Coturnix japonica: one gene and its partner. The protein of the gene in region 1 interacts with the protein of each later gene in a pairwise test. Links are inferred from orthologs where the notes say so. Each region holds a gene or a part of one and is shown on either strand. Other genes may lie near its edges.

The links.
Region 2: the proteins of FLT1 (region 1) and SHC2 interact in a two-hybrid assay, tested with the Homo sapiens proteins (2 studies listed by BioGRID). The link is inferred for Coturnix japonica from reciprocal best matches to the Homo sapiens genes FLT1 and SHC2.

Annotation. Positions count from the first base shown.
Region 1 is NC_029516.1:157,331,290-157,335,096, reverse strand, and holds part of FLT1 (vascular endothelial growth factor receptor 1), read right to left. Parts: intron 2,372-3,807; coding exon 2,267-2,371; intron 1-2,266. UniProt on the Homo sapiens protein: Tyrosine-protein kinase that acts as a cell-surface receptor for VEGFA, VEGFB and PGF, and plays an essential role in the development of embryonic vasculature, the regulation of angiogenesis, cell survival, cell migration, macrophage function, chemotaxis, and cancer cell invasion.
Region 2 is NC_029543.1:1,744,480-1,749,014, forward strand, and holds the start of SHC2 (SHC-transforming protein 2), read right to left. Parts: upstream 2,815-4,535; 5' UTR 2,730-2,814; coding exon 2,172-2,729; intron 1,652-2,171; coding exon 1,581-1,651; intron 1,288-1,580; coding exon 1,227-1,287; intron 1,066-1,226; coding exon 946-1,065; intron 867-945; coding exon 813-866; intron 607-812; coding exon 555-606; intron 406-554; coding exon 279-405; intron 187-278; coding exon 21-186; intron 1-20. UniProt on the Homo sapiens protein: Signaling adapter that couples activated growth factor receptors to signaling pathway in neurons. Involved in the signal transduction pathways of neurotrophin-activated Trk receptors in cortical neurons.

The DNA of each region.
Region 1 (3,807 bases):
AAAGAATTTTTCACATGTTTTGTAGTTGCAGCCAAAAAAAATGAATGAAAAAATAAAAAGAGGTTTGAAGAGTACTAGAGATCTAGAGTAGTTTTTTAACTGACCTGACTTCAGCCACTTAACAGTTACATATTAGTCTGAACTAGTTGACTTCCCAAGGAGTCAGTGGTAAAGCAAGGTGTTACCAGAGGCTGATCAGTGCTATCGCATGTTCAGAGAAGGGATGAACCACCTTTTGGTGAAGCTCCTCTGAATCTGTTGATCACACAACAAGCCTGAAGTATTGACATAGACTGGACACGTACATTTTAAATGGTTGAACTTTGTGGACAAACTCACTCTTTCTGGATATGATCAATATTAATAGCAACAGCAGTGATGTAAGGAATCTCACAACTAAACATAAAAGTTTCTACTTAGTGTTGAGCAGAATTTTTCATTCTATCCAAGCAAAATTCTGCTGCAGAATTTTGTTTTGGCAAGAAAACAAGGAAAAAAAACCCAACAGTGTTATTTTTCATAGACCCAAGAAGACTAAAAAACTTGAATGTTGCCAAGAGTGAGAACTGTCTGGTGAAAAGAACCCAGAGTCAGGTCTTAAAGGGCTTGGTTTCAACATCGTTTTGGAAGCAGATTTTCTTGGTGGACCCCCACAAAACTGATTATCTAATCAGTAACTCAATATTCATCTGTCCCACCTCATGGGAATTCTGCATGTACAAAGCTCATGAATGCCTCCATAGTTACTGGATAATCTGGTGAGGACATAAGGCATGAGACAGATCTTCCCTATCTTCAGGTAGGGAAAAGTGCCCAAAGGACCCAATCACCACAGGCTCTGTTCACAGGCAACAGAACTATACAAGTGCTCAGAACACCAGACTGTGGGATTTGCCTGAGGATGGGATGAACTGTTCTCATCATTGACAACAAAGGGAGTTTGAGTGACAAACTCAGAAACAAGAACCTACTCTGCACATGCGTACATAAATCCCACCATGAAGGATTCTTGCAGCTGCCATTGCTCCCACCTGTTCTAGGAGTACCCCTGGTGCTTTGGCTGTAGATGTACATAAAGAAATGCTGAATGTGGCAAGCCACTGCCAGATATTTGATGAACTCATCTATCTGTGTGCTGGCAGATCGCGTATTGACCCAGGTTGAAGGCTTCCACTGAAACCTGTGACATGAACAGCTACTGGCCCTCCACTGCGTAAGTTCTTCATAGGGACCAAAGTTTTAGTTTCTTCCCATTTCCCAGACATGCTTACTGGAAGATAGTTGCTCCTTGTGTATTGCTAACAAGGCTTTTCTGTGCTTATGGGATAAGAGAGAGGAGGGAGGTTTGTAACCTTGTCAGCTGAAAATTTCCCCTCTGGGGACAATCCTGGAGTTAGCAGTAGCAGGTGCCCCTTGTACAGGCTCCCCAGTGTCCTCTTTAAATTGATTAGAGTCTTTGTCCTTTCCTCTCCAATGATAAAAATGGAGATGATTTCACCTTGGGATGAGTGCTAGTGTATGGCAATTCCATCACCCTACCTGGGCAACAGCATCCTAACACCATGTAATGAAGCTGCAAGTGTCTCAGAGAGAGCACACCTGCTCAGCAACTCAGAGGTTTAAATTGCTCAGTCTGTTTTGCTTAATAGAAAGGCCTTCATGTAGAAAAACTGCTGGGCCTATACTAATAGAGAGTGTTAGAATGAGAAGCTAAAGCCAGGCAGATGCAAATGAGCTACAATTCACTTGTTTTTAACAACGAGAGGATTAATCATCAGAACTAATGACCAAGGATTATGTGGAAACTTCCACCTGAGTGTCATCAAGGTGGATGCCTTATGGCTCAGCTAAGTTCTATGTACTGTGCTCAGTGCAGGGTCAACACAGCATAATGGCTCAATGCAGGATACATAGTAGTAGTTCCCTGCTCTGATCCCATAAGAGTCACTTCATTCCTTCTTTAAGTAATGGAACAAGACTTTAGGAAACTCAGACTATCGGGCTCTTGGTGCACCTGAAACTTCCTCCTGTTCCACCTGGCAATTTAACTTTTCTACTGTGGACATCATTTTTATTTCAGAGTTCTGCTACTAGGATGGAAGATCTTGGCAGCCTTGAAACTGAGTGTGCACATTTTGGATGCTTTAGACAGCCAGGGGCAGGGGGTAGCATCACACAATACTTCTTTCAACAGAATCATGTTAAAAGTGAGATATGATATGATAAAGAGCCTCATTTTTTCCAGCCTGGGTTGGCAGTGAGGTACCTTTCAGCATTTTCACAGCAACAATTCTGCATGTTGGTGATTTCTTAATTCCAAAAGCAGATGCTTGTACCACCTTCCCGAAGGCCCCATGTCCGAGTGACTTTCCTGAAAAGAAAACAGATTGGAGAGAGGCATTCCCATAAAGAAGAAATTTTACCAGCTAATGAATGGGGAAATAAGGATTTGGAAAGAAAAGTTCTTTACAATGAGTCCTACATGTATATTCCTAACATAATGTGAAGTTGTTTTGGTGTTGTTTGGTGGTTTGGGTTTTTTTTGTTTGTTTGTTTGTTTTGGTTCTCAGTTGTTTTTCTTTGCTTAACATAATCAGACATATCAGACACAGAGTCACTGTAGGGTTAAAACTCCCTGCTCAGGCTGCCCAGGGCCCCATCCTGCCTGGCCTTGAGCTCCAAGGAGGGGGCACCCACAGCTTCCATGGGCATCTGTGCCAGTGCCTTACCACACTCTGAGTGAAGAACTTTCTCTTAACATCTAACATAGGTCTCCCCTCTTCTAGTTTAAAGCCACTGTCCCTTGTCCTGCCACTGTTAGACTGTGTTAGGTTGTTTCATGGTGGGTAGGATGCTTCTAGAACAGACATTTGTGGCATGGTATCGTTGTCATGCTGAGCAGACCTTAGGAGAATAACCCAAGGGCCCTTGAAAGAAATCTATAAACATAGATTTATGTTTATATATATATATATATATATATATAAATGAAATTCTCCAGCAGTAAAATCTGATGGTCCTTTTCTTTCAAGTCCAAACACACTGCTGATCTCATGATCTCCACAGCCCCACTTATGACTCACTGCTGTATGGGGCAGGCAGCATTGACTTTGATACAGTGCTCACGCAGCCAGTTCTGATCAGTGAGATCTTGTCAGTCAATTCATTATCAAAGTATCTCACAGCCAAGCAACTCATTTAGACTGCATTTGTGCTTCACCTTCATCAGAATCCAGGTGCTGGCGTGTCTAGCCAGTATGTAGCAGCAGGCCTTGTCGAGCAGAGGAAAGGAGCAGAAAACAAAGTCCAGCATTCCATAAAGGAAAATAACAATGGAAAAGCTGTGACACTAAGGCCACATTTATTTCTCAGCCGTGCACCTGTCACACAGCCATCTTCACAGGACAATTCCTTTTCTCTGTGATGGGCATCTGATGCAGAAGAGATGAATCACTTCAAAGGGGGCTGCTTGAGTGGCTTTGACTTGGATGTCTACCTTGTGAGACTCTATAGCTGTGAGAAATCAAACCCTCCCAGACACTCACAAGAAGAGAAGGAAGAATTGCCTCTAGTTCTAAAATAACTGGATGCTGCCTTTTACATGTGTAGCATTTCTAAGCTGCAGTTCTCAGTCAATGGAAAGTAAACAGCATATGTTACTAAAGCAATGGAAAGATGAAGTGGAATACACAAAGCAAAAAAACCTCTAGCATTTATTTCCCCTTAAATGTGCAAAAGTGTTGCATTTTTTACAGTAAATAGAAGCCATGAAGAACTTAATATACATGGCTGAAAATCACCTGCAGA
Region 2 (4,535 bases), on another chromosome or scaffold:
GCAGTGGCTCCAGGGCTCACCTGGTGAGAGGGCTGAACACGTATACGGCCAGGGAATGCACTGTGCTGGAGACGGGAGTCGATCAGCCCCCCTGGGGGTGGCTCCTTGCCTGGGATGCTGTTGTAGTAATCGTGCTCGGCCACCTCATCATCCTCCCCCCACGCTGACTCCTCCATCCCCAGCACCCTTGTGCAGAACACAGCAGGGGCAGCTGGAGACACAGCCCCACTCCAAGCAAGGACAAGGCACAAGAAAGAATGGAGGGACCCCAGCCCTACCTGTCTGGGGGTACAACAGCCTTGGGTGGGCTGTGCAGGTATTGCTTGAAGCGCAGCTCAAAGGCCTGTCCCACCGTGTTGATGACGCTCTGTGCCAGCCCATCGCAGCACTCCAGGATGTGGCAGGCTGCAAACAGGCAGGTGAATGGACTTGAACCCTCCCCCAGGCTCACAGCAGCCCCCCAAAGAGCCCCCAGCTGCCCCTCACACCCCACCAAGAGGTGCCCTCCTCCAGCCCAACTCATCCCTTCTCCATGCCCCGGGAATCAGCATCACCTCTCTGGTTGATGGGGTCCTTGGCGACGTAGGCGACATAGTCCGTGGTGTCCTGGGGACACAGAGGGTGTTTGGGGCTCATGTCCTGCTGCTGTGTGTAGAGCGGGGCTGAGGCTGCCAGTACCAGACTCAGCCCTGACTGCTCCAGCCCCAAGGACTGGGCTGTCCCTGAATTCTGGCTCAGTCTGGCCCCACCATGGGATGGGCAGCCCCACGTCCCCACTCCTTGAGTGCAGGGCTGGGACGTGAGAGCCTCACCATGTCCCCACCGGAGGCAAAGGAGATGGACTGCATGTGGTGGTTGGCGATGATCTGCAGGGCATGGGGAGGCCATCAACACCCAGCTCAGAGATAAGGTTGGAGGCAGAGGGTTGGGATGCCTGGCTCTCACCTGGCGCGTGGTAGGGATCATGAGGTTCAGGCCATCAATGGAGATGTTGACAGCGATGCTCATGCCTGCAAAGCGGAGGTTGCTCTTCCCAAGGATGGAGAAAAGGGCTTTGCTGGGAGCCTGATGGGGGACAGGAGCACAGGGGTGATGTTGCCCTTCCAAAGAGCCTTTATGGGGTGGGGAAGACACAGAGTGCCCAACACCCCAGGCTCTGCACTGGGATCAACCATAACCCCAACCCTAAGAAAGCAGAGAGGGAATGGGCTCAGGTGGAAACTCACCTTTTTCTTCCAGATGCCCTTCACACCCGGCACTGCCTCGTACAGTCTGTTGATGGCTTCTCTGCAAGCCCCAAGTCCCACAGCATTACCATTGCAGATCCCAGCTGTTTCCTGGCTGCTTCCCCTTCCTGTAGCTCTGGGAGTATCATCCCCAAGCAGCCGCAATGTCCCCCAGCCTCCCCCAGGGTCACAGGGCTGGTGGTACGTCATCCCCACCGGGGCCACCTCCCTTCTCCTCTTTCCACCCATTGATCCGATGCCCATCACTGCATTGCTGCCTCTGTCTAAGCATATGGAGTGGCCCCTACAGTTCCTCCCAACCTCAGCACCGACCTCAATCTCTGCAGGTCTTACCTGGTGACCTGTGTCCGCGTGTTGAAGTCGAGGGATCTCATGGAGCGCAGCACCTCGATGCATCCCATGTACTGCAGGATGGGAGGGGAGGTCAGAGAAACCTCAAGGAATATCACCAGCCCCAATGCAGGTGATGGAGAGGAGGCAGGTGTCGGTGACAAGGGCTCCTCTGTGTAGCAGTGGATGGCAGCCAGCATCCCGTACCCACAGAGATGAACATGTGGATGGGGAAAACCGAGGCTCTGAGCACTGTGCGGGGGTGGGTTGGTCCAGAGCAAGGCCAGCGGCCTCTGGGCCCACTGACCATTTCTGTTGCCCTTGCACTGAGGATGGAGACCCAGGTGATGCTGTGCAATGGGCTCCCACCATGCAGCATCCAGGCCCAGGGATGCACGCCATGAGAGCACAGCACTGCTTGGCTACAGGGGCTCCCCACGTTGCCCATCCCAGGACAGAGGAGTCATGCCCAGTCCTTCAAGAGTCTGGGACCGTGTCACAGGGATGGGTGAGCAGAGGGAGCTTCCAGCTGCGGGCTTGGGGCTTCACACCTACCCGCACCAAGCAGAGAGGAGCGGGGCTGGCAGCACTTACCCTGACGATGTAGGAGACGCCAGGACCCAGCACCCGCTCGTCGGGATGCAGCCAGCCCTGGGCCGGCTTGTTGATGAAGCTGCCCTTGCGATTCCACTCATCCCCGGCCGGTCGGGCTCCTTCCACCCTCGCCGCTTTCCTGGCAGCCCCGGCCCCTCCGCGCAGCCGGCTCATCACCTGCAGCGAGCACGGAGCCGAGCAACCCGGCTCGCAGGCTCCGAGCACGGCGGCCAGGCTGGACGTAGCCCCCCCGGACTCCACGGCTCCTCCCGCTTTGGCCGGCGAGGAGAGCTCCTTGCTGGAACCCGAAGGGCTTCGGCTGAGGAAACCACCGGGACCGGGGAACTTCCATTGGGGCATCCGAGGCAGCAGCATGCAGAACGTGGTACCCGCCTCCGGCTCCTCGCTCGCAGCGGGGCACGGCTGTGCCAGCCCCGGGGCCGCACCGGGATGCGCGGGTGCCGGAGCCGGCATCGGGGCGGCCGGAGGATGGCGTGGCCGGGCCGCGGCCCTCAGCGGCTCGTCTCGAAAGCGATCATACTTGGGCTCGGGGATCATGCCCCGCCGCCCCGGCCGAGCCGAACGTTCCCGTTCCGGCGCCGCTCAGCGCCCCGCACCGCTACCGAGCCGGCTCCCGCCCCCCACCCGCTCCCCCGGGGCCGCGCAGCGCTGATGTCATGGTGAGAGCGCTCCGCCGCCCGCCCCGGCCCCTCCCGGCTGTCTGAGCATCCCCGCCTCTCGCCCTCTCCGGCCCCACTGCCCGTCCTTGCAGCCCCCCCCCGGCACGGGCAGCCCGGCCCCGGCAGCACCCCGAGCCCAACCCGGTACCCTATAGCATCACTCAACCCCGAGATCACCCCGCATCACCCAGCCTCGAGCCCCTCCCTGGCACCCCCCAGCATCACCCGGCCCCCAGCCACCCCGGCTGTGCTCCCCTCTGGGCTGCTGCCAACGATGGGAGCCCCAAAAGAGCCAACTGAATAGTGGACACCCGAGGATGAGGTGGGATGAGCTCTTTCCTGCACAAAACGGGCTGCCTGTGCTGACAGATGCCCCCCTCCCATGCCAGGGATGCCCCCAGTGGCCAGCAGGCAGCTTCTGGAAGGGGCCAGCAGCATCTGGCTGCTGCCTTCACCTGCAACGGGTACATTATCTCCATTCTTCTACCACTCCATCACCAAGAAGCATTTGCAGGGTGCCTGAGGCTGCTTGGGAGGTGGAGGGGTGCAGGGGGGGCTCTGCTGTACAATAGGGCTGGCTTATTTCCGTGCCTCCCAACCCAGTGGTCTTGTCCACTCTGATTTTGTCTGGCTCCCACTTGTTTATATCTGCCTGGAGGGCTCAGGCAGTAAAAAGCACAATCATTTTCTTGCTTCTTTGCCAGTATCTGCAGCAAGCTGGGGGGGGGTTGGGGGGATGGACAGACACATTTAAAGGGACTTTCTGACCTCAAACCATCATGTAATACTCCCCTCCCCCAGCCCTGCTTTTTGTTTTTTCAGGCATTCAAAGGACTCAGACCTCCTGTCCAGCCTGGCATCCACCCACAGCATCTGAGCAGAGGGGCAGGAGGCCAAGGCAGCCTGCATGAGGCATCGCACCCACTGTGGGGGCTCCCAGCATGACTCACACACTGGGGACCAAGCCCGGAGCCACCTCCTCACCTCGAGTCCTCCCTCGGGTGCTGTTTATTTCTGCCTTTCCATTTTCAACTGAGCATCTTTCGAAGGATGAGGACAGAGAGGGATGCTGTGCTGCTGAGGGGTCAGGTCTCTGCCCCACAGACAGAACCAGAGCCTCCCTGGGGGCTCACAGTGACCTGGACAATGCTTGGCTGCCTTTATCTCGCCTTCTCTTCACTGTCTCCTTCTCCCTGGCAGATGATGGGGGTGAAAGCCAGTAATCGCTCTAAGTGCAATCGATAAATCAGGGTAATAGAATTACATACATTTGCTGTTGCCATATTAGGAACAGCATCTCTTAGCTTCTCTCTGCCTTTCTTGCTTTGGTTTTTAAACTGCTGCAAAGTGCTGGAACACGCTGGACTCCTGCAAGCTCCATGGGGCAGCTCCAGGTTTTATTTGGTCATAGCATTGAGCATTCTGCAAGCAGAAGTGCTTGATGTAAGAAAAACAAGCTCTGCTGTCTCCTCATTCCCAGCACTGAGTCTCCCTCCATGTTGCCAGGTTCACATGCACATCTCCAAGGCAGCTGACAAATTCCATCTCTCTTTATTCCTCCAAGAACCCCAGAACCCACAAGGCTGTTGCCAAGTATCTCCCCTTCATACACCTGGCAACAAACAACTGTGTGACTTCTCATGCAGTTCCTCCTGCAGATGTCTGTCTCACAGCCTTTGGTTGC